Linked DNA regions of Elephas maximus indicus. The protein of the gene in region 3 purifies or fractionates together with the protein of the main gene of each other region. This does not show direct contact. Links are inferred from orthologs where the notes say so. Each region holds a gene or a part of one and is shown on either strand. Other genes may lie near its edges.

Evidence for each region.
Region 1: the proteins of KIF5B (region 3) and KLC2 fractionate together in Homo sapiens (co-fractionation; 7 studies listed by BioGRID and IntAct, with this or other methods). This does not show direct contact. The link is inferred for Elephas maximus indicus from reciprocal best matches to the Homo sapiens genes KIF5B and KLC2.
Region 2: the proteins of KIF5B (region 3) and KLC3 purify together in Homo sapiens (affinity purification with mass spectrometry; 3 studies listed by BioGRID and IntAct, with this or other methods). This does not show direct contact. The link is inferred for Elephas maximus indicus from reciprocal best matches to the Homo sapiens genes KIF5B and KLC3.

Annotation. Positions count from the first base shown.
Region 1 is NC_064825.1:129,406,427-129,416,758, reverse strand, and holds the start of KLC2 (kinesin light chain 2), read right to left. Parts: upstream 4,385-10,332; 5' UTR 4,323-4,384; intron 4,316-4,322; exon of another isoform or gene 4,182-4,315; intron 3,536-4,181; 5' UTR 3,489-3,535; coding exon 3,255-3,488; intron 855-3,254; coding exon 615-854; intron 515-614; coding exon 445-514; intron 1-444. UniProt on the Homo sapiens protein: Kinesin is a microtubule-associated force-producing protein that plays a role in organelle transport. The light chain functions in coupling of cargo to the heavy chain or in the modulation of its ATPase activity.
Region 2 is NC_064829.1:104,372,015-104,382,340, forward strand, and holds the start of KLC3 (kinesin light chain 3), read right to left. Parts: upstream 4,821-10,326; 5' UTR 4,707-4,820; intron 447-4,706; 5' UTR 433-446; coding exon 175-432; intron 1-174. UniProt on the Homo sapiens protein: Kinesin is a microtubule-associated force-producing protein that may play a role in organelle transport. Plays a role during spermiogenesis in the development of the sperm tail midpiece and in the normal function of spermatozoa.
Region 3 is NC_064822.1:22,777,395-22,788,407, reverse strand, and holds the start of KIF5B (kinesin-1 heavy chain), read right to left. Parts: upstream 4,157-11,013; 5' UTR 3,712-4,156; coding exon 3,586-3,711; intron 1-3,585. UniProt on the Homo sapiens protein: Microtubule-dependent motor required for normal distribution of mitochondria and lysosomes. Can induce formation of neurite-like membrane protrusions in non-neuronal cells in a ZFYVE27-dependent manner.

The DNA.
Region 1 (10,332 bases), on a different chromosome or scaffold from region 3:
TAACCTCTGAGCCCAGCCTCCTCATCTGCAGAATGAAGGCTCGGGTAGGTGCTCAATAGTTCAGGCAAGGCAAGCTGGCCCCAGCCCGGCACTGCGCATGCGGCTCCTCCTCCTTCGCCCTCAGGGTGATCTGCAGCCGCCCGGGGTGGGGGCGCCTCGGGGAGGAGAAGAAACTACCAGTGGTCACAGCAACTTGCAACAGGCCCAGCTGCTCCAGAACTCTTAACTGCCCCCTCAGAAAGCTGGGGGGGGGTGGGGGCGGGAAGGCAACATGGAAGAACCGGCCTCTTAAGATCTCACAGGCAGGGTGTTGGGGTCAGAAATGAGGCAGGAAAGAGCATGGTGGCCACTCGGCCCCCATTTCCTGGAACCCCTGGGGTCCCAGGACCAGGAATTCATACGGCTTCCCACCCTCCTACTCCAGAACCAACTGCCCGTCAGCACCTGGGCCCTGCTCGTCCTCATTGGGAAACAGGTCATCCAGAGAGTCTTTGGGGACATCCCCCTTCTCCTCCTGGAGGGAAGACAGGCCTGGTGTCAGGGAGGAAGTTGGGGGTCAGTGGGCCACCCCTCCCTGCCCCCAGGCCCCTTGCCCAGTGCAGCTGGCAGCTGACCTGGCTCACGCTGGGGGAGGTGTCCTCATCCAACTTGCGGATTTGGCTCATGAACTGCAGGTGCTGCTTCTCCTCCTCAAGCTGGGCCACAGCCTGCTCGCTGCGCTGCAGCTTCTGCTGCGTCCCCGCCAGCTCCTCGCGCAGCCATTGGTTCTCCTGCACCAGGCGCCGCACCTGAGCCCGCAGTTTCTGCTTCTCCGACTCTACAGCCCCCAGGTGGCTTGACAGTGCCAGGATCACCTGTGGCGGCCAGTGGGATGAGGATCAGAGCCCTGTCCACCTCACAGCGGGGGCCTCCAGCCTGGGCCTGCTGGAGCTCTCGGACCCCAGGAAGAGCCAGGCCTGGCTAGGACACTTCCCCCAAGGCCCCTAACAGACCAGTCCAAGGCCTGAGCCCAGGAGGCCTGGGCTCCCCAGACTCCTTTCTGGAGTAGGGAGCCCTGGGCTCCCAGTCTGGCCCTGCTGGACCCTGACCAAGTCCACCCCTTTCCTGGGTCTCAGCTTGGCATCTGCATTGATGGTGCACTGCCCCCCTTGACAGGGTGTTCTGAGCAGGAAGAGGGCTAGCTGGGTGCTGTGCTCTCCACAGGCTAGCGAACTGTTCTTCATCTCTCCTGGGGGTGATACTCAGGCCCCTGCAGCCACAGCCTCTACTCTGCCATTCCCACTGTCCATTCTCACCCAGAGTGGGCAACTAAAAGCCTTCTCCTGCAACCTTGCTCCAGAGCCCCGGCTGAAAGACCCCATCCTGAGCTCTGCCCAAGGGTCAGGGTACCCCTGTCCTTCTGAAGCTCCCAGGGAGGGAAAGGTGGGAACCCTGAAGCTCCAGATGGTCTGTGCAACCACAGCGGCAGGTAAGGAGATCCAGGGCCTCCGACTGAGGCCCTACCCCTCTCCCCTTTCCTGAGCTTCCAGGCTCTTCCTACTGGGGGGTCGTGGGATAGGTTCTTCCCTCTGCTTAAAATGCCCTCCCTCCTTTCGCCTCTGCTGAAACCCCACTCAGCCTTCCAGGCTCCTTCCCCTCTGTTCCATCTCATACTGGGCTTCCGGCACCCTCTACCACCCTGTTCCCCATCTGTGTCTGTGCACCCTGGGGTGGGGCCCGTGTGTCCATCTTGCACCCAAGAATCAAGTGGCTGAGGCCTAGGCACAAACATGCCTTCCAGAGGGCCAGGCAGTCTGGGCCCTACATTTTCTAGTTGGTTGGCAAATGCCTAATGACAGGTGTTTTTACAACCGCTAGCTTTTAAAAACATTCTCTGAACAGCCTGGAAGTGCGTACAGCAGATGGAGTAACTCCTATTTTAAAGACAAGAAAATCAAGATAATACAACCTGCCCAGGATTCCCAGAGCCAGCCAGGGGCTCGGAGAAAAAAATTTTTTTTCCCCAGAGCTTAACTCCTGGCATGCCCCAGTGCCCGTGGACACGTCCACCTGCCTGTCATCCTGGCAGCCCCAACTCAAGGCCAAACAGAACTCCTGACCCATCCCCAGGCTCTGGTGGCCCCTTAACTTACTCAAACCACAAGCCTGGGAGTTGCCCTGCCTCCTGTCTCCTTCACTTGATCCTCAGAGTCCCCTCGGGCCTACCTCAAAAGCATCTAGAACCTAGCCCTTTCTCTCCACCTCCATGGCCACCCCATTAGTCCAAGCCACCATCTCTCACTTAAATTCCAGTAGTGGCTTCCTAACCGCTTGCTTCCACTTTGGGCCAACTATGGGGCCCACTGTAATTCATTCTGTATACCTCATCCAGAGGGAGTTTTCAAAACCTAAGTTAGACTATGGTCCTTGCCCCCGTAAAGCCCTCCAAAGGCTTCTCCATTTCCTGAGAATCCTGCATCACCATGAGATCTTTCCTCCCTCAGGACCTTTGCACGTGCAACTTCTCCCCTTCCTCCCTTTTCTGGAGGCTGGTTCATCCTTCCTTCAGGCCTTGGTTTAAATGTCATTTCCTCAGAGAAGACTTGCCTGACCAATAAACAGGAACCCTACTATAAGTTACCACAGGATCTTGTTCTTTTCTTTCTAGAATTCACCACACTTTGTAACAATTATTTATGAATATATGTTTCTGCTTTTCTTCCTAGAATTCACCACACTTTGTAACAATTATTTGTGAATGTATGTTTCTGTCTTTCTTCCTATTGGACTAGGCCAGGCATCTTGTTGGATCCTGTATCCCTGGCACCCAACAGTGCCTGGCACATAGTGGGCACTTGATAACTTATCTGCGAATGAATAAATAAAAGAATGAAGAATTTGGGGGCATGTTTCCTTAAAGACTTCCTTTCTGCTCATCTATGTCAGCCAATCTCTGCTAGGTAGCAGGGAGCCAGGAACAGTGTGCTGGGTGGAAGCTGATCAGGGACTCCTGGGGCAGGGCAGGGCTGGGGTCCCCAAAGAGCATTCATTGAAACAGATATTTACTGGGATAGCAGTTCTATTCCATCCTATAGGATCGGTATGAGTCGGAATCAACTGCACAGCAATGGTTTTTTTTTTTTTTTTTGGTTTTAACCCAAGTTGGGCCAGGGACAGATGGTTCCCTGCACAGATTCTGCTTCTCCGATGCCAGGATTATATGGAAGGCTCCACTCCTCCTGTCCCCTCCCATCTCAGTGCCCCAGGCAGCCTACCTGGGCCTCCCCCAGCCCCAGCTCTATGGCTTCCAAAGAGCGACGCAGGAGGACACAGCGCTCCTGAGAGCCCGGCTCGGTCTCACCGGCCTCGTGCGCGACTAGGGGGGCGAGCAGGGCACGATGCTCCCCGCGCAGAGTCTCCAGCCCCTGGATAACGGCCTTGGTGCCCAGCACAATCTCGTCCTGGCTCAGCTTCTCCTCCCGTGGAAGCACCATCGTGGCCGTGGCCATGGCCGCGCCGCCTGCGAAAGGGAGAGGGCGGCAGGCGGGCGCCGGGCCTGGGGCCACACCGCCGACCGCCCCGGATTAGGTAAACACCGGCGGTCCCCAAACGCCTGAGTCCCCCAGGTGCCCCAGTCCTCCGGCCGGCAGCCCGCACCGTGCCCACGCTCGGCCTACAGGGGGCGCGCCCGGCTCATCTCGCCCCGGAGACGCAATGCGGTGCGGCGTGAGGCCAGACCTGAATTCGGCCCCAGACCACCAGCTCAGGCCGGCATGGGCTGCTTGGTCTCGGGGCTTCCCTGGGGATTCCTTTCTCTAAGGCAGGGCGCGCCAGGGGATGGTGCTACGCAGGTCGTGGGGGCTCACCCCCGGTCGGGAGAGCCCGGTCCCAGCCCCCCGGGCAGCCCCCTTCCCAGCATGCCGGCAGAGCCACGGAGCCCTCCTCCGGGACAGGCCGACCCCACGGAGACCCTCCTGGGGAGGGCCGAGACCTGGTGGTCCCCCATCTCTCCAGGCCGCGCCCACGACATCTCCTGCCTCAAGACCGGGGTGGCCATGCCAACCCGCCCCCGGAAAGGCCGCGCCCCTGCCCCACCGGCCGCGACCCCTCCGCCAGGCGCTCCCTGCCGCGCCCACGACGCCCCCTCTCCAGGCCGCCCCTCTAGGCCTGACCCCCGCCCGGCCCTATCAGGCCGCGCCGACCTGAGCCTCCCGCTTGGCCCGGCTCCGGCTCCGGATCCCACCCCGCTTCACCGGGACCCGCAACCGTGAGCCGGTCCCACCGCCTCCATCCCGTCGGCCTTCCCAGCAGTCCCCGCGCCGCCTTAAAGGTGAAGCCGCTACCTCAGCGGCGTCGGAGGAGGCGAAGCGCGCTCCTCTCTGCCCGGTGGCTGCCTTAAAGGAACAGCTCCGGCCGACCGGCCCCGGGGGGGCGTGGCCACCGAGGCGGCGGGGCGGGGCGGGGCGGGGCGGGGCTGCCCCGGGGTGCAGGTTCCCAGCGGCAGCTTCCCACGCTCTCGCAGCCCGGACTTCTCGGCAGTCAAAGCCCCGAGGCCTTCGGCCACCAGGGGTGTAGAACGGCTCGGGAGATCGTGACACGATCGCAGCCAGTGCAGCGGGCAGAGAGGCGACGGGAGAAACTGAGGCCCAGGGAGGCTCGGCCGGGCGACCTCGGAATCAGGAGCGAGACTGGGACTAAAAATTACGATAGTTGTTGCCATTTATTGAGTGCCTACTGTGTTTTGGGAAACCCTGGTGGCGGAATGGTTAAAAGCTCGGCTGCTAACCGAAAAGTCCACAGTTCGAATCCACCAGGCCCTCCTTGGAAACCCTATGGGGGCAGTTCTACTCCGTCCTATAGGGTCGCTATGAGTCGGTATCTACTGCAACGGGTTTTACTGCGTGTCGGGCGCTTTGGTGCCTTCAGTACCTTAACGGACTTAATGCTCACAAAGACCCGCCTCTCACAGATCTGTTGTTGGGGGCCGCGGAGACCCCAGGTGACAGTAGAACTGACCCATCTTCAAAGCTGTAATCTTTGGGAGAGCATTTTGTCAGGTCTTTCTCCCAATGAGCCACTGGGTGGGTCTGAACCGTCAACCATTCTGCCACAAAGGCTGTTTTCACAGATTTGTACCCAGGCTTGTCTCCAGACCCAGACCTTTGGTCTTAACCCCATCTCCCAGATGGTGGTTATGCCCCACCCCTTCACAGGTGTCCTTGGCCCTGTAGGGGATTCATGGCATCTTAGGGCTGCTTTTTAGGGAGGAAGGGACAGAGGCATCTGGCCAGAAGGGAGAGGTGGCAAGGGGAAGCTGGGCATCGACAAAGACTCCTGGCCTTGTGAGTGACGATCAGGACAAGTTGGAGCATCCTTGGTCTGTGACGTCATTCCAAAAACCAAATCCGTTGATGCTGAGTCGATTCCGACTCATAGTTGACTCATAGTGACCCTATAGGGCAAAGGAGAACTGCCGCATAGGGTTTCCAAGAAGTGGCTGGTGAATTCAAACTGCTGACCTTTTGGTTAGCAGCCATAGCTCTTAACCACTGCACCACCAGGGTCTTTAGGGGCTCAGATCAAATGTCACCTCCTCAGAGTCCTTCCTTGATTCCCCTCCCCCATCTAGAGCAGCCCTCCAGCCCCTCTCCAGCACTCCCTGATTTCTCTGATTAGCATTTATCTCTCTAGCGTTTTTCCTTGATTTGCTGTCTCCCCCTGGAATGCAGGCTAGGACCTGCCCATTTTGTTCTCTTAGAGCAGCTTCTGGCACGCACATAGCTCAGTAAATGTTGGTTTAAAAAAATCAGAGGTGAAAACGTTATGCTGAGTGAAATCAGTCAGTCACAGAGGGTTACTGTCTGATCCCACTTACATGAAATATCTAGGATCGGCAAGTGCATAGAGACCAAAGTTTATTAGTGATTACCAGGGACGGGTGGCAGGGAGGGGAAAAAGGGGGGGACACTGAGCTTCTGTTAAGGGTGATGGGAAAATTTGGAAATGGATAATGGTAATGGCTGAACAATAAGACAAAGAACTAATGTCACTGAATCGTACACACGAAGAATGTTGAAATGGCAAATGCTTACACATATATTTACCGCAATAAAAAGAAAAACTCCCATCAACTTGTTTTAGACAGCATCTTGTACAAAGCAAGTATTGAATAAATGATTACTGAATTATATTTAAAAAAAGACATAGGATGCCTGATGGTCTCGCTAGGTCCCACCCTGGCCCTGCCTTCTGGTCTGCGGCTCTGCAGCCCTAGGTCAGAGGCCAGCCTGGTGCTGTACCCACTGCTTCTAGGTCACTAGCCCTTAGGGGTGACAGTGTGCTGACCACCCTGGGGACAAAAGCTGTGCAGGGATCTGGGGCATGCCTCCTGAGGCAGGGGGCGTTCAGACTCAGGATTCACCAGGCTCAGCATCCTGGTGGGGGCAAGCATCCCTTTGGCATCATCTCTGACTGCAAGATGGTCCAGCACCCTTAGCTTGAGTACATTCTGTGACAGGAAGCTCACTCCATTCTGCTGTGAGATAACTCTACATGTCAGGAAGTTTTTCCTAAGATAAACCTAAAAGTACCTACCTACAGGGCTGTCGGAAACCCTGGTGGTATAGTGGTTAAGACCTATGGCTGTTAACCAAAAGGTGGGCAGTTTGAATCCACCAGGTGCTCCTTGGAAACCGTATGCGGTAGTTCTACCCTGTCCTATAGGGTCTCTGTGACTTGAAATCGACTCGACGGCAACAGTTATTATTATTTTTTTTTTTACAGGGCAGTCAGAACATTTAATTGTGCTTATGAGGAGCCTGTACACAGATCAAAAGGCAGTAGTCTGGACAGAACAAGGGGATACTGCATGGTTTAAAGTCAGGAAAGGTGTGTGTCAGGATTGTATCCTTTCACCATACCTATTCAATCTTTATGCTGAGCAAATAATATGAGAAGCTGGACTATATGAAGAAGAATGAGGCATCAGGATTTGAGGAAGACTCATTAACAACCTGTGTTATGAAGATGACAACCTTGCTTGCTGAAAGTGAAGAGGACTTGAAGCACTTACTAATGAAGATCAAAGACTACAGCCTTCAGTATGGATTACACCTTGACATAAAGAAAACAAAAATCCTCACAACTGGACCAATAAGCAACATCATGATAAACGGAGAAAAGACTGAAGCTGTCAAGGATTTCATTTTACTTGGATCCACAATCAACACCCATGGAAGTAGCAGTCTGGAAATGAAATGACACAATGCATTGAGCAAATCTGCTGCAAAAGATCACTTTAGTGTTAAAAAGCAAAGATGTCATCTTGAAGACTAGGGTGGGCCTGACCCAAGCCATGGTGTTTTCAATCACTTCATATGCATGCAAACCTGAACAATGAATAATGATGACCGAAGAAGAATCAATGCCTCTGAATTATGGTGTTGGCGAAGAATATTGAATATACCATGGACTGCCAAAAGAATGAACAAATCTGTCTTGGAAAAAGCATACCCAAAATGCTCCTTAGAAGCAAGGATGGCAAGACTTCGCCTCACATACTTTGGGTGAGTTATCAGGATGGACTAGTCCCTGAAGAAGGACATCATGCTTGGTAAAGAGTAAAGGGTCATCGAAAAAGAGGAAGACTCTCAAAGAGATGGACTGATACAGTGGCTACAACAATAGGTTCGAGCATAACAACAAACAACAACAAGGCTGTCATGGATTGAACCGTGTCCCTCAAAAATGTGTGTCAACTTGGCTAGGCCATGATTCCCAGTATTGTGTCATTGTCCACCATTTTGTCATCTGTTGTGATTTTCTTATGTGTTGTAAATCCTGTTTTTATGAGATTAATGAGGCAGGATTAGAGTCAGTTATGTTAATGAGGCAGGACTAGAGTCAGTTATGTTAATGAGGCAGGACTCAATCTACAAGATTAGGTCGTATCTTCAGTCAATCTCTTTTGAGATATAAAAAAGTGAAGTGAGCAGAGAGATAGGGGGACCTTATGTTACTGAGAATGAAGAACCAAGAGGGGAGTGCATCCTTTGGACTCGAGGTCCTTTTGCTGAGAAGCCTCTAGACCAGGGAAGATTGATGACACGGACCTTCCCCCAGAGCTGACAGAGAAAGAAAGTCTTCCCCTGGAGCGGGTACCCTGAATTCAGAATTCTTGCTTCCTAGTTTTTTTTTAGACTGTGAGAGAATAATTTTTTCTTTGTGAAAGTCACCCACCTGTGGTATTTCTGTTATAGCAGTACCAGATAACTAAGACAAGGGCTCACTCCTGCCTCAACTCTATCTTCAGGAAGAACAGTCTGCCTCCCTTCTGCCAACAAAGGTATTTGGAGACAGTGGTGATACCTCACCCAGTTTCCCTTCTGTTTGGCCTGATGACCCGATTCCTTCACCCACTCCTATGCAGTTTCCTGACCCTTCCCCACCCCGGTTTATCTTTTCTAGGGTAGTTTAGCATGTCAGACTCACTCTTGGAATGTGGTGTTCAGCCCAGGCCCAGTGATCCAGACCAGGTGTGAACTGCACAGTTCAAGGTGGGACGTGGGCCTCCCTGAGTGAGCACACCTGTCTTCCAGTGCAGCCATGTCTGCTCAGGTTAAGCGTGTGTAAAACCCTAGGCACTGACATCCCAGGTACAGTCCACCCAGGTTCTTCTCCCCTGTCCTGAGCTTTTGCTGATGATTTTTTCCTGTGATTTTTTAAAGATAGCTAATACATTGAGGGAAACTCTGGTGGCACAGTGGTTAAGTGCTACGGCTGCTAACCAAAAGGTCAGCAGTTTGAATCCACCAGGCGCTCCTTGGAAACTCTATGGGGCGGTTCTACTCTGTCCTAAAGGGTCTCTATGAGTCGGAATCAACATGACGGCAATGGTTTTTTTTTTTGTTTTAACACATTAAGACCACTATTACAAGAACTCAAGAAATAGTTTAAACTCAGAAGAAAATTTTTTTTGATGGTTATGAGTAGGGGAGGGAGGGCGGGAAAGGGATATTCACTAATTAGATAGTAGACAAGAACTATCTTAAATGAAGGGAAAGACAACACAGAATACAGGAGAGCTCAGCACAACAGTTCCAAACCAAAAGCACAGAAGTTTCCTGAATAAACAGAATGCTTTGAAAGCTAGAGTAACAGGGCCAGGGATCTGGGGACCATGGTTTCAGGGGACATCTAGGTCAATTGGCATAAGATCTATTAAGAAAACATTCTGCATCCCACTTTGGTGAGTGGCGTCTGGGGTCTTAAACACTAGCAAGCAGCCACCTAAGATGCATCAATTGGTCTCAACCCACCTGGAGCAAAGGAGAATGAAGAACACCAAAGATACAAGGTAATTATGAGCCCAAAAGACATAAACAGCCACATAAATCAGAGACTACATCAGCCTGAGACCAGAAGAACTAGATGGTGCCCGGCTACAACTGATGACTGCCCTGATGGGGAACACAAGAGAGAACCCCTGAGGGAGCAGGACAGCAGTAGGGTGCAGAACTCAAATTCTTGTGAAAAGACCAGACTTAATGGTCTGAGACTAGAAGGACCCTGGAGGTCATGGTCCCCAGGTCTTCTGTTAGCCCAAGACTGGTACCATTCCCAAAGCCAACTCTTTAGACAGGGATTGGACTGGGATGTAAGACAGAAAACGATACTGGTAAGAAGTGAGCTTCTTGGCTCAAGTAGACACATGAGACTATGTGGGCATCTCCTGTCTGGAGGGGAGATGAGAAGGCAGAGGGGGACAAGAGCTGGCTGAATGGACACAGGGAATACAGGGTGGAGAGGAGTGTGCTGTCTCTTTAGGGGGAGAACTAGGAGTACATAGCAAGGTGTATATAAATTTTTGTATGAGGGACTGACTTGATTTGTAAACTTGCACTTAAAGCACAATTGAAAAAAAAAAAAGATAGCTAATACATTCATCCATACCCGTCCGTCAGTTTGTTGTACTGTGGTGGCTTGCATGCTGCTGTGATGATGGACGCTCTGCCATCCAGTATTTCAAATACCAGCAGTGTCACCCATGGTGGACAGGTTTCAGAGATGAATCCAGACTAAGTGAAAGCCTGGTGGCATAGTGGTTAAGTGCTACGGCTGCTAACCAAGAGGTTGGCACTTCGAATCCACCAGGCGCTTCTTGGAAACTCTATGGGGAAGTTCTACTATGTCCTATAGGGTCGCTATGAGTCAGAATCAATGGCAGTGGGTGGGATCCAGACTAAGACTAGGAAGAAAGGCCTGGCAATCTACATCTGAAAACTAGCCAGTGAAAACCCAATGTATTACAACAGTATATTGTCCAACATAGTGCTAGAAGATAACCCCCCTAGG
Region 2 (10,326 bases), on a different chromosome or scaffold from region 3:
GACCCTGCTACCCCACCCCCCTACCTGCACCTCCCCCACCCCAGGCCTCACACCCCCAGCCCTGCTCCCCTGTACCTGTGTCTCCACCACCCCAGGCCTAAACCCCCCCAGCCCTGCCTCCATATCTGCACCTCGCTCACCCCAGGTCTGACCCTTCCAGCCCTGCCCCCATACCTGTGCCTCGCCCAGTCCCAGTTCAATGGCCTCCAGCGAGTGGCACACCACCTGGTGCTTTTCTTCCAGCAGCTCCAAGCCGGCCGCCGGGCCCTGCCCTGCCAGAGCCTCAGCCAGGTGCCCAGCCAGGCCACGGTGCTCGGCTCGCAGCGCCTCCAGCCCCTGCACCACCTGCCGCGTCTGCTGCACCAGCTCTTCAGGATTCAGGCGCTCCGGGCCCAGCCCCATGTCGCCGGGGACCGCCACCTCCACTGACATGGCTGCTCCTGGGGCTGCCGAGATTGGGGAGTCAGTGCCAAGGCCAGGAAGGCCCCCTGTCTCCACACCTGTCCCAGCCATCAGGACCCCCCCGCCTCTAACCTCCCCCCATCCTGGCCTGCCCCCTGCCTCCACGCCCATCTCAACCGGCAGGACTTTCCCCCACCATCACGTCCTCTCCCTAACCCAGCCAGCCTCCTGCCTCCTCACCCTACCTGCCTATCCCGGCCAGCTCCCGAGCTCCACGCCCATCCCACCAGCAGAACCTCCCTGGCCCAACCTCTCCCCATCCCAGCTATCCCTCTGCCTCCATGCCCTGCTCATCCCAGCCAGTCCCTTGCCGCCACGCCCTCCCCATCCGGGACAGCTCTTATTTGGGAACATCCGAGTCCACCTGTGTTGGGGCCCTGCCCTGAGGACAACGCCCTAAACCCCACTAAGTATAACTAGCCAAGAGAGGGCAAGCAGCTGTCTCAAGGACCCCATGCCGGCCCTCAGCTGACCTGGCCAGCCCTCCCCACCCCAAGGACCCAGGAGACCCTAACCCAGAATCAGGGCTGGAAGACCAGGATGGAGGCTCACTCGTCCCTGGGCATGTGGGGCGGGGCGTGTGGAGGCGTCAGCCTCTCCATGAGCTCATTCTCACTGAGTTTTTGTTGGGAACCAGTCAGACAACTGGGGTTGGGGTGAGGAGGACAGGGCCATGAGGTTAGGGTGCTGGAAGCAGAGGAGACGCTAGGTTGGGGGTATGGTGGGGAGCCCCATATGTCAGCTCCTGGGGCATGAGGAGCTGAGGGTCCCTGAGGGAGCAGGGGCCCTGCCCTCCATCACACACAGGCCCAGCTGGCTCAGGGCGTGATGGGACACACGGGTGTCAGGCGTGACTTGTGGATGTCACACTGGCCATGTGACAGCTGAGGGTCTGAGGACCAGGTCGTAATGAGTGGGCGTCCCACATGTGGGACTTCCTGTGGGTATATATGGGTGACAAGGTCACAGGTACCTAACTTCTGGTGCTTCTGGGACCCTCTCTCACACACACACACTCCTCTCTCAGAAATACATCTCAACACACGCACAAGCACACTTCCTTCTTTCAAATACAATATACACACATACGTCTCTCAGAAATACAACTGAATACACACACACTTTCTTCTCTTCTTTCAACACAACACAACACACACACACTCCTCAGAAATACAACTCGACACGTCCTGCCCCACTGAATACCACACACACATATACACACGAGGCACAGTCCTCTTAAAAATACAATGCAACACACACACACATTTTCCTTTTAGGTTATTTTAGAACTATAACCTGATAGAACACACTAACTCATACTAACACACGCACCTATTCTCTCTGAAATAAAACACATACACTTCCCTCTTGGAAATACAACCCAACACAAAGGCACACTCTCCTCTCTGGAGTAACAGCCAACCCACACGGAAACTAACTCTCTCCTCCCCTTAGCTCCCTCGCCTCAGAAAGTATAAGCAAATCCCTCAGATTTAGACCGTCTCCTGATCTCTCTGCTTGTCCCAACGACATACACACTCCCGCACGCTCACACAGCCTGCAAGCCGCCAACTCCCCACTACCTCCGCAGCGCCTCCCAGGAGTCACTGTGAACCTGTCACCATCTTCCCCAAATGCTCCCTCACGTCCTTGCCTGGACAGCCACACACTCACACACCTACACACTGCATACCCACAGACACACACAGAGAGCTTCAAACACAAGGGAGTCCTCCCAGACTCAGTTACCCTGCCGGAAGCGGTGCCCACAGCGCAGACACCTGTGGCTGCACAGAGAAGGCAGTTCCCCGATTTTCACACCCATCCTCTCAGGTACACTTCACTGAAGCCACTGTGTCCACCATGAGCAGCCCAGGGGTTTAGCACCTCTTAGCACACTCATGATCAAGCACACTTAGACGCATACAGGAGTCCTTGGGTGGTGCAAACGGTTAGTGCACTTGGCTGCTAACAAAGGTTAGCAGTTCGAGTCCACCCAGAGATGCCTCAGAAGAAAGGCCTGGTGATTTGCTTTCAGAAAAAATCAGCCACTGAAAATTCTATGGAGCACAGTTCTGCTCTGACATACATGGGGTCTCCATGAGCCGGAATCGACTTGCCTGCAACTGGTTGGTAGATACATACAGAAAGGGCGTGAATGGAATCCTGTGGACTGTACAACCGACTGTTGATCGCCATTAACCTCAGTCTCTCTCTCCCCCTTTCATATACACACATATTGTTGTTGTTAGTTATTATCAAGTCAGTTCTGACTCACGGCGACCCCATGGGTGCAGAGAAGAAACCGCTTCATAGGGTTTTCAGGCTGTGACCTTTCAGAAGCGAATCGCCAGGCCTGCCTTCCAAGGGGCTTCTGGGTGGGCTCAAACCACCAGTCTTTCAACTAGTAGCCGAGCCTTTAACCATTTGAGCCACCGAGAGGCTCCATACATGCATATGTATATGTGTATATGTATGTGTGTGTGTGTGAGATGTGTGTGTGTGAAACCTGTGAGAGCTGGAACTCCGTGGGACTGCCCTGCTTTTCCAGGTCTTGTAAGTTTTCTGCCTTTGACAGGGTGCCGTCTTACCGCTTCTCTATCGCTCTCTATTAGTGGGAAATATTTTAGTTTTCCTTCTCTGACAGATTTCTGCCTGACACAGGCTCCATCTTTCACAGGTGTTACTGTGTGTGTGTATATATATATATATAAAATCTCATACCTCACACACAAGCCATAGTGGAACTCACAATCACACAAGCTCATCAACAGTCATCCCAACAACCACAACCATTATTCACACAATTTTGCCATCAGACACAACCTCCCCCAAGGTCACACGCCACCTCAGCCAGTCTGACCACCCAGCCCTCCCACAGTCACACAAGGCTCGGGCAGCCTCCTAACACACACCATCTCCCAGGCTCCTCCATTCCCAGAGCAGCGGACCCCTTTCATCTGCACAGTCTCCTGTGCAGAGGCACGTCGTGACAGGATGAGATCCACAGTCACCTCACACATCGACCCGGACACACACGCCCTCTTCTTCTCTGTCATCCCACAGAATGGCTGGGGGATAATCCCAGGCACACATCACTCGGACATCCCTTCCTCCAGCGCCCTTCTCCTACACTCAACCAGCCCCCCATAACAGGCAAGCTTTCACTGCACGTCCCGCCTGGTCAGAGCAGCTCAGCCAGTCACGGTCAACCCCCTCAGTCCCTCTCTAAAGTCGTGGCCTCACACCCACCTCCCCAGCACACATCCCAGCTCCCTGACACAGTCACACAGCCACATGCACCCTCACAGAGGCACACAGAGTCAACTGCAGGCACGTTATCACTCACGCAGTCCTATGGACACACGCACACACCATGGCTCAGGCAGAAAGGTAACCACAGCTACGCTCTTGATCACACACATAAGCCTAGAAACAGTTGGACTCCCCATTATACGCACAGCTTCATGCAGGGACACACAACCACTAGCTGCCAATGGTCTCCTAAGTCTCATATCTTTTGTCCTGACGTAAAGTCCCAGAAACAGCCCAACTCTCCCACACACACATCATCCACAAGCAGAAAGTTGGCCACAGTCACACAACCTTGCAATCACATACACAAAGTCCTGCAAACAATCCAACTCACAGGTGCACACAGTCAAAAGCTTGCTCACTTTTTCACCTCGCTGACACTGCCCCACACACAGGCCCTTAGGTCCCTCACGGAGTGACACACAGAGACCAGCACCCTTTCACATCCATACCCACAGCCTTACACCATCACACACACTCGTACACACCAGAGCCTCTCACACCATCCCTCACACACACACACACACACGCACGCATACACGCAGGTAGGCAGGGAGGAGGTTCCCATCATACTCCCCCCACCGCGTACGCTTACCCCTGGCCGCCGGCCCAGCCCCGCACCCCGTACCCCGCACCCAGGGATCCCTCCCTCCCTGCGCCCGTCACAAGGGCCCCCTTCCTCCCCCCTCCCCCAGGCCCCGCCCCGTCCTCGCTCCTGTTTACCTACGCGCGGGAGAGGGGGCGCGGCCCCAGCGAGGCCCCCAGATCCCCGGGAACCCCGGCCTGGAAAGGGGGCGCCCAGGGGCCCCAAGGCCCTTCCTGGTGGCCAGGTGAGCGGGCCCAGGGGTACTCCTGGCCCGAGGCTCCTCCCTCGGCCCCCGCCCCCATCACCTGGCCCCTGGGACCCCTGGCCGGTCCCTGGGGCTTACCTGACCTCGGAGGCTCCGGCACCAGCTACGCCGCCCCGCTCCCCGACCACCCCCAGCCCGGCCGCTCGGAGCTGATCCCAGAGTCTCGGGCCACAGGCTGCGCCTCCGGGGGCGGGGCGGCCAAGGGGCCCCGCCCACACAGGTGAGCCGGCCCCGCCCCTCGCCGCGGAAAGCCTCCGGCCGAGGCCTGGCGGCGGGAGTCGAGGAACCTCTGCTGCCCGGCCCAGGGCCTCTAAGGTGCGTCGAATCTAAGGATGATTCCAGCACCTGGTGGCCTGGAAACCGGAGTCGCGGCAGAGCTCGAGTCCTGGAAACTTGGAATCTTGGAAACTTTGGATCCCAAAACCATGGCCCTCTTGCTATGCCAACCTCGAGAGCTTGGTCTCTCTTCCTACAGATCTTCCTACAGATCTCGTCGTCATCAGGGCTCTTCCCAAAGGCTGCCTCCTCCGAGAGGACTTCCCTGACCACCGCATCTAAATTACACCCTCCATCAAGATACTAGCTCATTTCCCTGCTTGATTTTGTTCAGAAAATATTTCAGGGGCTAAAAATGATTTTATATTATATGTTGTATCACATATTGGAGCTCTAGTGGCCTAGTTGTTAAGAACTCGGCTGCTAACCAAAAGATCGGCAGTTCAAATCCACCAGCCGCTCTTTGGAAACCCTATGGGGCAGTTCTACTCTATCCTGTAGGGTCGCTATGAGTCGGGATTGACTCGACAGCGATGGGTGTGGGTATCACATATCATAATTCTATTATGTTATTATAGCATATTACATTCATTTATATTATTTTAATCTGGGGATCTGTTCATGTAAAGATTACAGCCAAGAAAACCCTAAGGGGCTGTTCTACTGTGTCACATGGGATTGCTGTGAGTAGGAATCAGCTGGACCGCACATGACAACACCATGTTGTTGTAAGTTGCCCTCAAGTTGATTCCGACTCATGGAGACCCCAGGTGTGCAGAGTAAAACTGCTCCATAGGGTTTTCACAGCTGTGACCTTTCAGAAACAGACTGCCAGGCCTGTTTTCCAAGGTGCCTCCTAGTGGGTTTGAACCACCAACCTTTTGGCTAGAAGTCCAGCTCTTGCTTAACCTTTGCACCACCCAGAGGCTCCCTTATATATACCACATTACATTATTAGAGAAGCAAGGTTATGGGATGACTAAGAATGTGGGCTCTGGATTCAAATTCTGATTCCAATACTTACTGGCTGTGCAGGCCTTGAGCAAGTAATTTAACGTCTCTGTGCCTCTGTTTCCTAATCTGTAAAATGGGCATTGTCAAAGAGTTATTGCAAGGATCGAATGAGTTAGTATATGAACAGTACTTCTATCAGGGCCTGGAACATAGGAAGCGCTTAGTAGTTGTTAGCTATTGACTGAATAATATTATCTTCTTGATTCCGTTTTCCCCACTAGCATGTCCTGGTTTACGGCAGTGGGTTAGTGGGTTAGCACGTCTTGAGAGCAGGGCTCTGTATTGTCAGCACTGTGTCTTTAGCACTAGAACACAGCCTGGCTCATGGTAGGCGCTCAATAAATATTCGTTGAGTGACTGAAGGACCAAGTCCTAGAATCGTAAAATGGTCAAAGCTGGACACACAAGACTCAAACCTCATAGAACTTGGTTCAACGCAAGCTTTTTCAAACTCCGGCAGTACGCTGATCACTGCATTTGACAAGGCTTCCACCAGAGGGCGCTGCGGGCCTGTGGACCCGGCCTAGACTCCAGCGCAGCCCTGCATCCTCCCTCACCAAAACCAAAAAAACCAAACCCGTTGTGGTGGAGTCTACTCACAGCGACCCTACAGGACGGAGTAGAGCTGCCCCGTAGGGCTTCCAAGGAGCAGCTGGTGGATTCGAACCGCTGACCTTTATGGTTAGCAGCTGAGCTCTTAACCACTGCGCCATCAGGGCTCCTCCTCCCTCACAGCTGCAGTTAACCCGCCCCTGCTCCCTGTTCCCCGAGTCCCAGGGCAGATGTCCTCCCTAATCCTCACCTTCTCCTCTAGTCAGGCTAGGTCAGGCGCCCCCTCAAGGTTCCTGCAGCCTCCTGGCTCCCCCTTCCCAGCCCCACCCACTCCAGATCGGCAAAGTCTGGGGACAGGTCGGTTTCCGCGAGTGGACTGTGAGCCCCAGGAGGGGAAGACAAGGTAGCAGTCACGCTGTGTCCCAGCATCACCCAGCACAGGCTGAGCACAGAGAAGCAACTGGAGAGAATGGGCGTTGACTGAATGATTGAAAAGAAAATCAAATGCACCCTCTCTGATTCCTCCAGGCAATTCTAGGGAACCGGGTTGAAGGCGGCAGCTGAGCCCCTCCCTCATCGTTTTGGCCTCAGAACATTGAATCTGCCACGGACTTACCAGGAGGCAGGGCAGCCGGACAGGAGCCAGGAGGCCAGGCACCAAATTCCAGTTCTGCCATTCAATCGGTGTGTGATCCCTGAGCCAGGAACTAACCTCTCTGGGCCTCAAGTTCCCCATCTGTAACCTAGTTTGTCAGGCTGGTGTGACGATTAGAGAGTAATTTCTGCAAAAAGCCTAGGACACCATCTAAGATACAACTATTGGTCTCTACTCATCTGGAGCAAAAGAGGAAGAAGGAAACCAAAGACTTAAAGAAGAAACTAGTCTATAGGAAAAATAGTCTACACAAACCGCAGCCTCATCTACTCTGAGACCAGAACTAGACGGTGCCCGGCTACCACCACCAAATGTCCTAGTCAAAGCCACAATAGGTGGACCCTGCTAGAATGGGGGAAACCCTGGTGGCATAGTGGTTAAGTGCTACAGCTGCTAACCAAAAAGTCAGTAGTTCAAATCCACCAGGCGCTCCTTGGAAACCCTGTGTGGCAGTTCTGCTCAGTCCTACAGTGTTGCTATGAGTCAGAATCTACTCGACAGCAATGGGTTTGGTTGGTTTTGGGACAGAATGGGAGAAAAATGTGGAACACAGCCTCAAGTTCCTAAAAAAAAAAAAAAAAACAGACCTACTGAACTGGTTGAGACTCTCTTAGACTATTGCCCTGAGATACTCCAAACCTTGAACTGAAACTAACCCCTGAGGTCACCTTGCAGCTAAATTAACAAACTGGCTCAGAAAATAATGAAATTTTCACCCGTAAATTCTCCTTAAAAAAAAAAAAAAAAAACATGATACCAGTCAACAATCACTTTAAAACAAAGATGAGAACATTAAAAAACAAACAAACCCTTGCCATCGAGTCCATTCCCAGTCAACGTAGAACTGCCCCATAGAGTTTCCAAGGAGCGCCTGGTAGATTTGAACTGCTGACCTTTTGGTTAGCAGCGATAGCACTTAACCACTACATCACCGGGGTTTCATAAGGGGGCAGGAAAACTAGATTAATGGAAATAGAACAACCAGAATGGAAATCATGAGACCATTCACGCATTGCGAAGAAATATAATCAATGTCCCTGAACAATTTGTGTAGAAATTGTTAAACAGGAACCTAAACTGCTATATGAACCTTCATGGAAAATACAGTAAAAAAAAAAAAAAAAGCTTAGGACAGGGTGGTACATGGTATACACTATGTATAAGAATGGAGGTGGGTGGTGGAAGGAGTCGGAGTCAAGTAGACCTGAGTTCAGATCCTGGTCTTGCCATTTCCTTTTCATGTGACCTAAAGCAAGCTGTGACCTTTTTCTGACCTCTCTTTTCCTCATTTGTAAAACGGGGATGGTTATGCTCACCACCCAGCATTTTTTATATTAGCTAAGTGTGAGCTAAGGTGACCATTTCTCTAGGCCTGCCCTGCGCCAAGCACCTTTGCACCACACCAACAAGTGCTGGTGTTTCTGAGTTCTTACTGGAGTCAGGCCCTGTGCCAAGCCCTGTACTCAGAGGAACTCCATTAATCCTCACACCAAACCCACCAGGTAGGTGCTAGGACTATCCTCACTCCACAGAGGCACAGAGAGGTTAAGTGACACGTCCAACGTCACACAACCAAGAAGTACCAGAGCCATCGAACCCGGACAGCTGCCCCCTGAGATGGGGACAATTATCAGTTCCATTCAAAGAAAAGAAAACTGCAGCACAGAGAGGAGAAATCGCTTGCCCAAGATCACAACCAAGAAGGCACTCAATAAATAGCCCATGTTATTCCTTCAGGCCTCAGTTTGCCATCTCAGGAGAATGGATGGATGAGGTGGGGCTTTTCTATTTTCATCTCTTGGCCACAGTTTTTTAAAAACTCTATTTTTTTTCCCCTTTCATTTGAAAATTAACCCTGATCCATTGCTGGTGGGACTGTAAAACGGTGCGGCTACCATGGAAAACAGTTTGGCGTTTCCTCAAAAATTCGAACATAGAATTACCATATGACCCAGCAATTGCAATCCTAAATATATACTCAAAAGTGAAGGCAGGAACGCAAACAGAAACCTGTACACCAATGTTCATTGCGGCACTTTTCACAATACCCAACAGGTGGAAATAACCGAAATGTCCATCCACAGATGAATGGAGAAACAAAATTCGGCACATACACACACCATGGGATATCATGCAGCCACAAAGAGAAGCCAAGTCCTGCTGCATGCCACGGCATAGGTGAACGCTGAAAACATCACGCTGAGTGAAATAAGTCAGTCGAAAAAGGACAGATACTCTATGATCTCACTTGCGTGAGATAAGCGAATATATAGAAACTAAAGATTATTAGTGGTTACCAGGGGTGGGAGGAAGGGGAAAAGCGGAAGTTTTTGTTTAGGGAGCTTTGAGTTTATGTTCATGGTGGCTGAATTTTTTTTTTTTTTTAATTTTTATTGAGCTTCAAGTGAACGTTTACAAATCAAGTCAGACTGTCACATGTAAGTTTATATACACCTTACTCCATACTCCCACTTACTCTCCCCCTAATGAGTCAGCCCTTCCAGTCTCTCCTTTCGTTTGTCAGCTTCCAACTCTCTCTACCCTCCCATCCCCCCCCCAGACAGGAGATGCCAACACTGTCTCAAGTGTCCACCTGATATCATTAGCTCACTCTTCATCAGCATCTCTCTCCTACCCACTGTCCAGTCACTTCCATGTCTGATGAGTTGTCTTCGGGGATGGTTCCTGTCCTGGGCCAACAGAAGGTTTGGGGACCATGACCGCCAGGATTCTTCTAGTCTCAGTCAGACTTAAGTCTGGTCTTTTTATGAGAATTTGGGGTCTGCATCACACTGATCTCCTGCTCCCTCAGGGGTTCTCTGTTGTGCTCCCTGTCAGGGCAGTCGTCGGCTGTGGCCGGGCACCAACTAGTTCTTCTGGTCTCAGGATGATGTAAGTCTCTGGTTCATGTGGCCCTTTCTGTCTCTTGGGCTCATAGTTATCGTGTGACCTTGGTGTTCTTCATTCTCCTTTGATCCAGGTGGGTTGAGACCAATTGATGCATCTTAGATGGCCGCTAGTTAGCATTTAAGACCCCAGACGGGTGGCTGAATATTTTGGAAAAGGATAGGGAGAACGGTGGCACAACATGAAAAATGCAATCCACGTCATTGAATTGAACTGAATCGTAAATGTATTGGTGAATGTTTTGGTGTACCTATTTTCACCAAAATAAAGTAAAAAATTAACGCACTCCCAGAA
Region 3 (11,013 bases):
CCTTAGATTTCTTATATGAGGCAATTCCTGTTTGAGTCTGCACAGACCAAGCTGAACACCAAATTTGGTTATGAAGGACACCCTTCTGGAAAGGATATGCCTTCCTGTGGGATTTTTCAGATTACATGGGATTATACCATATTAGATTTTCCTTAAACAATGACTGTAGGCTAACATTCCAGTATTTTAAAGGTATGTGATAAATAGAGGCACCCTCTCTTCTTTCAATCTTCACTGTTAAGGTAACAGAAGGTTCAAACACCAAATCATCATTCACTTGAAAAGGACAACAGTGTTTTGCTTTAGGCAAGGAACTGGACAAGATGATCTAATTAGCTTAATTCTCTAATTTCAAAGAACAGTCTGTTTTTGGCAGCCTTTACAGTATTTTTTTTTTTACAGTATACCACACAATGAATACTGATTAGCACAGATACTCAATGATGCAAACAAGCATGTTCTACCTTTAGGATGCATAAACAGGTTCAAAAGTAATTTTTTCTACTGACCTCCCCCGCCCTGCCCTGTTTTCAGCAGGCTTACTGAAACTATACAAGGGGTTTCCCTTGTCCTCCCTTTTTTGTGGATAACAAGTTCTCTTATTTTAAAAACCTTTGCTTTAAAAAAAAAAAAAAGAAAAACTGGTGTTGCCTATACTATTTTCCTAAAACTGACCAAACTCCCTTTTAAAAGAAAACAGATTCTATTTGTATCATTTAAAGGTTTTTATTAAATAATTTATTTCATTAATGTGTGATATTTACAGCTCTTCACTAAGGACTTAATTACAAATAAATGTGTATAAAAGGCTGCAGAATACACAGAGGAACACTATAAATTACAAGGCTTGCCTGCCATGGGGTTATATTACATTAAAATCACTGATTACATGAGTAAAAGGGAACATTTTTAATGTCACAGTACTGGAAATGGAACTCAGGAAAAAAACAGAATTACTGTAAAGCAATTTAGTTTTAAATGCTGCATTGTAGCAACTCCCTCCTAAACTCTTTATTTTGAATCAAAATCAGGACCAGTATTCCCAAGAGATGATTTTACCTAGTGATTTTCTAATTCTACTTCCCCAAGCTGCCCTTATAAATTCCTAACCTCCTTTAGAAAGCAAAATAATTCATTTCGAAATTGTACAAAAATATGAGACCTTGGAGTAAATAATGCACTTACTATGCTCAAAAAATTGGTTCCTAAAAATAATAAACTGAACATGCTGCCTTAAATTTTTTAAAGCTACTCAGCTATAATGTATTCTTGCTTATATATACATATTTACACCAGACTAAAATGCCTACCAGTTTACCTAAAAGCCAACTATTCATTACTGATTCACAACTCCTATCCATCATGTCTAATACTGTCATTTAAATCTATTTACATTATTAAGGAAATTTTTAAACAAAAAGATATATTGTAAATTATTCCAAAGGAAAAAAACCTAGAATAAATGTATGCTTCCTGTGGCAATTACTTGTTTTCCTTTAGCTCTCTCCTCATATGTCATATTTGGGCCACATGAGAAGGTTGACTTCTAATCTTAATACATTTTATGAATGCTAACTAAATGCTAGCATTTTAAAAGAATCTTAGTGATACAGATATTGCATAAACACATACGAAATCCGGAGAAATAAGACATCCTTAATACCAATGTGAAAAGAAAATAGCTTTGATGTGTCAACCACTGTTGAAGCTGAGTAATCACCAAAGCTCTGAGAGAAACGAGTAGCCTCATGTTTGCCAACTAACAATCCAGGCTTCCCCTGATTCTAGTAAAATATAATATCCTAAACAAAAAGGATGACTACTTGACCTCCCTATGATGTCATGAGAGCGAGAGTTTTTCTTGGGGACTTGTTAATAAAGAACCAGCCTGACAGTCTTCACGCAGTAGTGGTTGGCAGTTGTTAGTGACCCAACGCCTTGTCTACCAAAATCCTACTGATAGCAATTGGGAGCTACGGCATTAATTTTCTAGAGACAACATTCATTTGGAAATATTTGCACAAAGCCCTAACGAACTTCAGTCCTATCTTATATGTCAATGCTTTCCATCATCAATTCCCATCTCTTATGACCTCTTTGCCCTACTTCTAAATTAAGCTGCCCAAATATGGCAAATTAACATAGCAAACGTTTGTACTGAAATGCAATGCAGAAAGTAATGTAGAAAAAAGTTCTGCCCCACAGCATCACCAAGAAATGTGAATTTAATTTTCAATCATAGTTCACTGTTTTGTATGCAATGTTACTATTCATTTTTAATTTCCTTGAACTGAGAATGCCATTTTCCGATATTTCGACGCCAGGGGTATAAAGACAGATAAGACATCAACGAATCAACCTCACATTCCGGTTTCCTCGACAATGATCCAAACCAAATCCAAACGCGCTGCTGTGGCGTCGATTCCGACTCATATAGACTACAGGACAGAGTAGAACTGCCCCATCGGGTTTCCTTGGCTGTAAATCTTTACGGAAGCAGACTGCCGTATCTTTCTCCTTCAGAGCGAACAGCGTGTTCGAACCGTCGACCTTTCGGTTAGCAGCTCAGCGCTTAACCAGTGCGCCACCAGCGCTCCTTGACAAGGATCAGCCAACTCTAATTACCATGCTTTATCCTACAAAGGGGCAATATCTCACCATGCCTGGGGTCTTCAAAACCTTTTTTCTTCAAGGTAGTTCTTAATTGCGTAAGTACAAATCTAGCAATAAAATAAGAAATCTACCTCACTGGACAACTTTTTTACAAAAGTTTGCTATTATATTTAATGATATACAAAAAATAACACCGTCTTAGACTATTATCCCATTAAATCCGTTAAGGATGAGGTTCTGGATCTTGCTGGGCACTTATTTCACCCGATCTGGACCTGACCAGCTAAAATATTAAACAAAAATTCATCACTCCGATGTCAAAACTCACTGTTCTTTTTAGTCCTCGACTCGCCGTTTGTAATTATTAACATGAAGTCATCATTCAAAAAGGTGAGTGGGTGAACATTTTCGGTTCAGGTACACAATATATATAGTTTGGTAGTTTTTCTTCTCCCGCAGGAGATAGTACACGGTTTAACATGCAGTTGTAGGTTTCCATAAAACCAAGCATCTTTACTATTTAAGGTACCATTTTTTTTTTAGGGCTAGGGCTGGTCTCACAGTCCGTGAGCTTCTAAATTAACCTTACTTATTTCATGCATGGCAAATTTGGGGGTTGTCCAAAACACCAACAGCATCGGCAACAGTAAATGCACACAAACATAAACACACACAAATATGCACTAAATTTGCTCCCCCGACGATTCCTCCACCGCCCCAGGTAGGGGTGTATCCCAGGCTGAGACGAGGCGCCTCCCGTCGCCGGGCGCCTTAGACCCGGGTGGGGGCGATCCAAGAAAACCCGTGGAGCTGCGCAGCCTCCCTCCCCTGGGTTATCTGAACCGGCAAACCCCGCCCGGGAGGCTTGGGAACACCACTGCTCCCCCAACCCTGCACTCCGCCACTTCACTGAACTCTAGGCCCAGTCAGGCCCGATGGAGCACGATGCGGGTAAAGGTGGGGGTCACTCACCGCCATCATAACTGTGTCTTCTCCCTGAAACTTGGCGACGTACTTATCGCCGCGGTTCACCTCAGACTCATTGAGAGGTCTGAAGCGACACATCACTTTGATGTTGCACTCGGCCGGGTCCGCCATCTTCCTCGCTGCGGGGCCAGAAGCCGGGAGCCACTCCCCGCCGCTCAGTCTTGAAGGAAGCGTGCACGAGCTGAGGGTCTGGCCGGGAGTGCCAGCGAGCGGGGGTCGCGAGGACGGTGGGAATCAGCAGTTTTCCGCGCAGCGCTTCCCCGGCTGAGGGTGGCCGACAAGCGGAGACTCGAAGTACCGGCGCCGGCAGCCGTCGCCCTGAGGCTCACTTCCGCTCCATCATGGCAGCCATGACGGCGGCGGTACCGGTAAAGTGTCCCGGGGCTCCTTAACTTTTTTCCTCGCCGGCCAGGGCCAGCTGCGAGGCTAAGAAGATTCTCGAGGCCAAGGAAGTCGCCCTCTCCTCCCTTCTCGGGAAAGAGCAGACCGGGCTAACAGTCTGGCCGCCCGGCTGTACCCCTGCCCGCTCGCGGGCTGCCGCCCGACCAGTCTCGAAGGCGCAGCCGCGGCGATGGGGCGGCGGGGAGCCGGGAATGGGCGGTGCGAGCGAAGGACCGCGCGTGCGCGGCGGGCCCAATCCCCGCCCGCGCCCCACCGCCTCTTCAGTGTGGCCGCCTCCTGGGATCGCTCTCCGCTCGCCGGTTGCAAATTCAAGTTTCATTGGATGCTGTCTTCAAAAAGTGCTTTTGGAGCCCAGGCGGCAGCTTCCCAGCACCGTCCGGCCGCGGAATTCCCCAGAGCCAAGGCAGACGCGCCTAGCTTTCTTTTCTTTGTCAGGAGACGGGACCTGTTACTGTCGTAGCTTGTTTAAATAAAATACTATATTCGGAAAAGGAAGTATTCGCTTTCATTTTGGTCTGGGGAAAAACTTTACTAGCTGATCTTTTTAGAGCGGTTTGCCAGAAAAAGGAAGGGTGAGATGTTACTTTCTGATTTAAGGCGTTGCTCCATTCTGACGGTGGGTTGGGACGACAGGAGTAAGAAAGAAGGAAATTTGCCCTAGGGAATATAGAAGGTTGCGGAAGAAATGTGGAATGCTGCGGCAACATGTGAGAAGGCCCTCAGTGAATCCGAGGTCCCACCTTAGCAGATAATAAATTCATGGAGCTCCTCAACGCCAACATCTGAGAAATGACTGGCCTGGGGCGGGCTGAAAGTGTAAAAATGTTCTCAAAAGGCTTGGATAAATTTGCGGATTACATGTCCAAGGAAAGCCACTCCACAGTTGACTTCACCTCCTATTTTTAGATGGATACCATGAAGGGTTTTCACGTGGAAGTGGCTTTGAGATGCTGTGGAAAGAGAACTATAATGACAATTTGGAATCTTTTCTCTGGTCCTCAATTTTTGTTTGTAAAATGAAGGATGGGACTATGAAAACGTCCAATGCCCCCAATCATCCTTGTAACACCAGAAACTAAGCCGTGATCCAACAGCTTGAGGTTTGTTCCCTTGCTGGCTCTTAGAACCATCATCAGTTGTCTCACCAAACAAAATCTGGGGGCAAGTGTGGAGTTTAGGTAAAATTTAAATGAACCAGTGATGTGAGCCAAGGTATCAACATAAGTCCTGGGCTACAAAATGGACCCAGGATCCTGTTCCCTGGGAAACTAGAAAGTTTTGATGTGGAATGTTTCTTCAGAAATCCCTTCTCCGAAACTCTGCACACGAATTGGAAATCAAAGCTGTTTCTTTATGTCTTAGATCCTCCAGGCAAGAGTGGAATGTTTCATTCTTACTGGGATAATTTCACACAGTAGTTTCTGATAGTCTGTGACTTTGGAAAACAAAGCTCAGTAAGAAAGCAGTAATCCCTCAAATAAGGGAGCTGCTATGATACTTCACAAATACAGCTTGTCTGTGTGTATTAGTTATCTAGTGCTGCTGTAACAGAAATACCACAAATGGATGGCTTCATCAAAAATTTATTCTCTCAGAGTCCAGTAGGCTATAAGTCCAAATTCAGGGTGTCACATCCAGGGGAAGCTTTTCTCTCTCTTTCAGCTCTAGAGGAACGTCCTCTTCCCTTGGTCTAGGAGCTTCTCTTGGAAGGAACCTCAGGTCCAAAGGATGGGCTCTACTTCCAGCACTGCTTTCGTGGTGGTATGAGGTCCCCCTGTCTCTCTGCTTGCTTCTCTCTTTTATAACTCAAAAGAGATCGGTTTAAGACACAATCTAGTCTTGTAGATCTCATCAATATAACTACCACTAATCCATCTCATTAACATTATAGTGATAGGATTTACAATGCATAGGAAAATCACATCAGATGACAAAATGGTGGACAATCACACAATATTGGGGATCATTGCCCAGCCAAATTCATGCACATGTGTTTGGTGGTCACAATTCACTCCATGACACCATGCGAGAAGTATTGTTTCTTAATGACTTTGCAGCTGGCTTTATCTTGTCTGTTAGTCTGGTCTGATGGATGACAGAGTAGAGTTTTACTTTCTCACCGCTTCAGTCCTGTTTTTCTTATCCTGGTTTCTTCATCATATCTATATACTGTCATTATTACCTCTAATTTCAGAAGAAGACAGTTCTCTACCTCCCTAAAATTAATTTTTCATCTATATTCTGAATCTCTTTTAACATCACTCAACACCTGGATCCCACTAGCAGTCCCTATCTTCTAGCATATTTGATTTCTTCTTTTTGTCAGCCTCTCTAGGGTAGGGAGTGAGGAAGGAAACATATGCTTAGTCTCTCCCGTCTTTCAAGCAACAACAAAACCTAAGCCTTCACTCGTTCCCATTGACTATTAATCTTCTTGCTGCTATTAAATGGGTGAAATTGACCAGAATGGACTGTGTAAAACTGGACAGTAGCTGCCGCATCTAAAGGGAGCAGCAGCTACTCAACTGAAGCCATGGGAGAATGTGACCCTAACACTGTCAGGTCTTCTTATTTTCAAGAAAAGTTATAATCCAGATTCTTTGAAAACTCTCAAATTTTAAATTAAGTTAAATTGGCTATTAATTAAAAAAAATTTTTTTTAAATGTGTAAGCTAAGTAAAACACACCTGTGGTCTGGATGTGGCAGGTGGGCCACCAGCTTTCGACCTGTGCAGTGGGATCTCATGAAGGCTCTGTCCTCAACCCTCTGCTCTTTTCTCTCTGAGCTCACTTCTTCAACAATTGCTGGAATTTCTTATTTCCAATCCCGACTTTTCACCTGTGTGATGTTCCCATCTCTTCCAGCTGCCTGTAGGCCACCTTGTTTAGGATGCTGTACCATAATCTCAGATTTAGCATTCCAGAAATGAAATGAAATATCTTCCACTTCAGGTAAATACTTAATCCAACTCTTCAGCTCTCCAGTTTCGATGATGGGTATCCATAGTCTCAGGCTGGAAAAGCTGCAGTCACCTGTAGCTCCATTTCCTTTACCCCCATACATGCAGAAAACAAGCATGGTAGTCTGTACCTGAAGTTCTCCAACTTCTACTCTACCGTTCCTCTTTGTTCCCCAACTCAGAAGATCTCAGGAATGATTAACCTAGAGGAGTGATTTTCAAACTCTACTCCATGGAATGCTAGAGGTTCCAAAGAGATGACCTAAGAGACTTTATGGGTGTGGAGAGGGAAAGAAGGTGAGGGAAAGGGCCAAAGAGTGAAGCTGTGGGAACCTTTGCTGATGTGGTACCTGCCAACTTCTGTTGCCTTTCGACTCTTTTCCCTTCCGCCTGCATAAAAGATTCTGGAAGCTCAGGATTTTTGAAAACAAAATCCAGAAAGGGAAGTGTCTACAAGAGCCTTCTGCTTTCAGACCTAAAATACACTTCTTCTGGGCAAGGGAGCACAAAGATTGTCATCACAGATCCAGGAAGGAGAAACATGCTATGTGAAAACCACGTATATTTCCAAAAATTGTCCTGTCGTAGTAGTAATGAACAAAGCAATAGGGGTTTAAGAAATATTTTGCTGAGGGAACAAAAGATGACTAAAAAACTGCTTAATTCCAGTTTTTTGCCCAAATGTAGAAAATATTGCATTATTCTTTAGCAGTGAAGTAGATTTCCTTGAGAGTATAATTTGAGACTCATTAACATTGCTGTCTTAGTTATCTAGTGCTGCTATAACAGAAATACCACAAATGGATAGCTTTAACAAACAAATTTATTTTCTCACAGTTCAGGAGGTTAGAAATCTGAATTCAGGGTGCCAGCTCTAAAGGAAGGATTTCTTTCTCTCTCTGTTGGCTCTGGAGCAAGGTCTTTGTCTCTTCTGATCTTCTGCTCCTAGGCAATCTTCATGTGGCTTGGCAGCTCTCTTCTCCCATCTCTGCTTCTCTTGCTTGCTTATTTAATCTCTTTTGTATCTCAAAACAGATTGATTCAACCCTACACTTTTCCTGTCATTGACATAACAAAGACAACCCATTCTCAAATGGAATTTGAACCTCAGGTATAACCAAATTGCCATCAAGTCATTCTGACTCAGGACAGAGTAGAACCGCCCATAGGGTTTACAAGGCTGTAAATCTTTATAGTAGCAGACTGCCACATCTTTCTCCTACAGAGTGGCTGGTGAGTTTGAACCAACAACCTTTTGGTTAGCAGCTGAGCGCTTAACCACTGTGCCACCAGGACTCCTACCACAGGCATTAAATCAAAACCAAACCCATTGCTGTCAAGTCGATTCTGACTCATAGCGACCCTATAGGACAGACTAGAACTGTCCCACGGGGTTTCCAGGGAATGGGTGGTGGATTTGAACTGCCAACGTTTTGGTTAGCAGCTGAGCTCTTAACCAGTACACCATCAGGACTCCACCACAGGCACAGAGGTTAAGATTTACAACACGTATTTTTGGGGAACACAATTCAATCCATAACAGTAAGTTTTTCTTATAAAAATGTGAGTGGTACTTTCTCCTACACAGATTTAGAATATTAAATCTTCACAATGGAACTTAGTCTCCAAAGATGGTGCTCCAATGAACCATGCTTACCTTTGTGTAGTCTCTCTCCTTGAATCTGGGCTGGCCCTATGACTCACTTGTAACCAGTGTAATGTGGCAGAAGGATGACAGTGTGTGATATCTGACATTAACTGAGAAGAAGCCTTGCAGCTTTCACCCTGGTCTTTTGGAACACCCTTCCTAGGAGCTCTGGACTGCTGTATAAAAAGGCCAGCTACCCTGAGACCATGCTGAGACCAAGTAACATTACAGTGGATAGTCACAGGTGATCCCAGCCTTCCATCCATCTCCACCCAGGCACCAGACATACGAGTGAAGCCATCTCAGATTGTTCAGATCAACACACCTACAGCTGACTATCACTGAGTGATCTCAATTGACACCCTTGAAGTGGAAGAATCACCCAGCTGAAGCCTGCCCAAATTCCTGACCCATAAAATGATGAGATATAATAAAATGATTATTGGTTTAAACAGCCCAGCGTTGGATAATTTGTTAGCTGGCAATAGATAACTAGAATAATACCCTATAATTTGGAACTTAAAATTTATGTCTTGGAAATAATCCTATAAAATGTTACTTCTGTACTTATATCAGACCATATTTAGACTGATTATAAATTAACTAGTTGGAGGGGGTCTACAAACATAACCATTGTTTATAACATTACTATGGAAATTTTGTTTTAGAATTTCATGCGAAATGACTATTTTTAAAAGGTCTTTTAGAATAGGAAACTATAGCACTTCTTTTATTCAAGCGTATATGAGAGACACCCATTCCTCTCCATTTCCACTACCCCTTCCTAGTCTAGGGCTTCATTACTTCATGCCTATGGTATTACAATAGCTCTCAGCCTCTTTTCCATTTGATCATTCAAATAATCATAAATATGGATTGAGCGCCTACAATGAGCCAGGCACTGAGATAGGTGTTAGAGATGAAATGGAGAAAAAGATTAAACAATTCTCTCCCACAGCCATTATTTCGTCTGAATTTTTCAGATTAAATTTCCTAAAACATTGCTTTTATTACATCATTTTCTAATTCAAGAACCTACACCAATTCCTTTTTTTCCTACCCAAACAAGTTCAAGTTCCTCTACTTGGCATCTTAGTTACCTCATGTTACTGTGACACAAATACCACAAGTAGGTGACTTTAAAGAACAGAAATTTATTTTCTCACAGTTCCTCTACAAGCCAAGGATGCTCACATGGCACTGTCTTCCCTTGTATGTATCTGTGTGTCTTCATAACTCAGAAGTGATTAGATTTAGAGCTCAACCTACTTAGGTGTGGCCTAATTAATACAACAGAGAAAAGCCTATTTATGAAAAGGATCATATTTATAGATATTGTTGTTGTTGTTAGGTGCCATTAAGTTGATTCTGACTCATAGAGACCTCATATATCAGAATAGAACTGCCCTATGTGGTTTTCTTGGCTGTTAACTTTATGGGAGCAGATTGCCATGTCTTTCTCCCAATTTATAGGTGTATGGGCCAAGATTTCAATAAATGTGTTTGAGGTACATAGTCCATAACATTTGGATTCCAAGGCTTTCTAGAATCTGACTTCCCCACTGTTTCACAAATAATTTTTTAGACTCCTGGCACCTGGCATTTTCATTGTCCCCTTCTTATAATTTGCTATTTTCAAACTCGTGCTGATCCCACCCTGGAATATTTCTCTCCCTTATGCCCATACATATTCGATCCATCTTTCAAATACTTCTATAGGTAGTATTTCAACATAAAATTATTTGCCAGGTCAGACAAAAACACCGCACCTATACTGTATTTAATACTATAGTTTAATTCTTTAAATTCTTTTCATATTTTATCAGAATAATATATGTTTATCTGTAGTTTAAAAATTACAGTGCAACAATGAAAAATGGAGGGTCTTGCTCCACTCCACTCCAAACCCCATTTATGTTCTCCAGGGCATCCGCTTTAACTCTTTAAGCAGTTTCTTCTGGTTTTTACCTCCAAGTTTTTAAGTAATGTTCTTTTACTGCTGCTCCTTGATTAAAAAAAAAAAAATTTTTTTTATTATTAAATGAATATATAGCTCCTATACACTGTCCCCCATTTAAACCAACACACGCATTGTCTTTTCCTTATCTTTTCAATATATTTCTATCACCGTTTCTAGTTAAACCAATATGTTGTTGTTAGGTGCTGTCAAGTGGCTTCCAACTCATAGCAACCCTATGTATAACAGAAAGAAACACTGCCCAGTCCTGTACCATCCTCACAATCATTGCTATATTTGAGCCCGTGTTGCAGCCACTGTGTCAGTCCATTTCATTGAAGGTCTTCCTCTTTATCACTGACCTTCTACCTTACCAACAATGATGTCCTTCTCCAGCACTGGTCCCTCCCTCTAAAATACGAGAGACGATGTGTTGCCATCCTTGC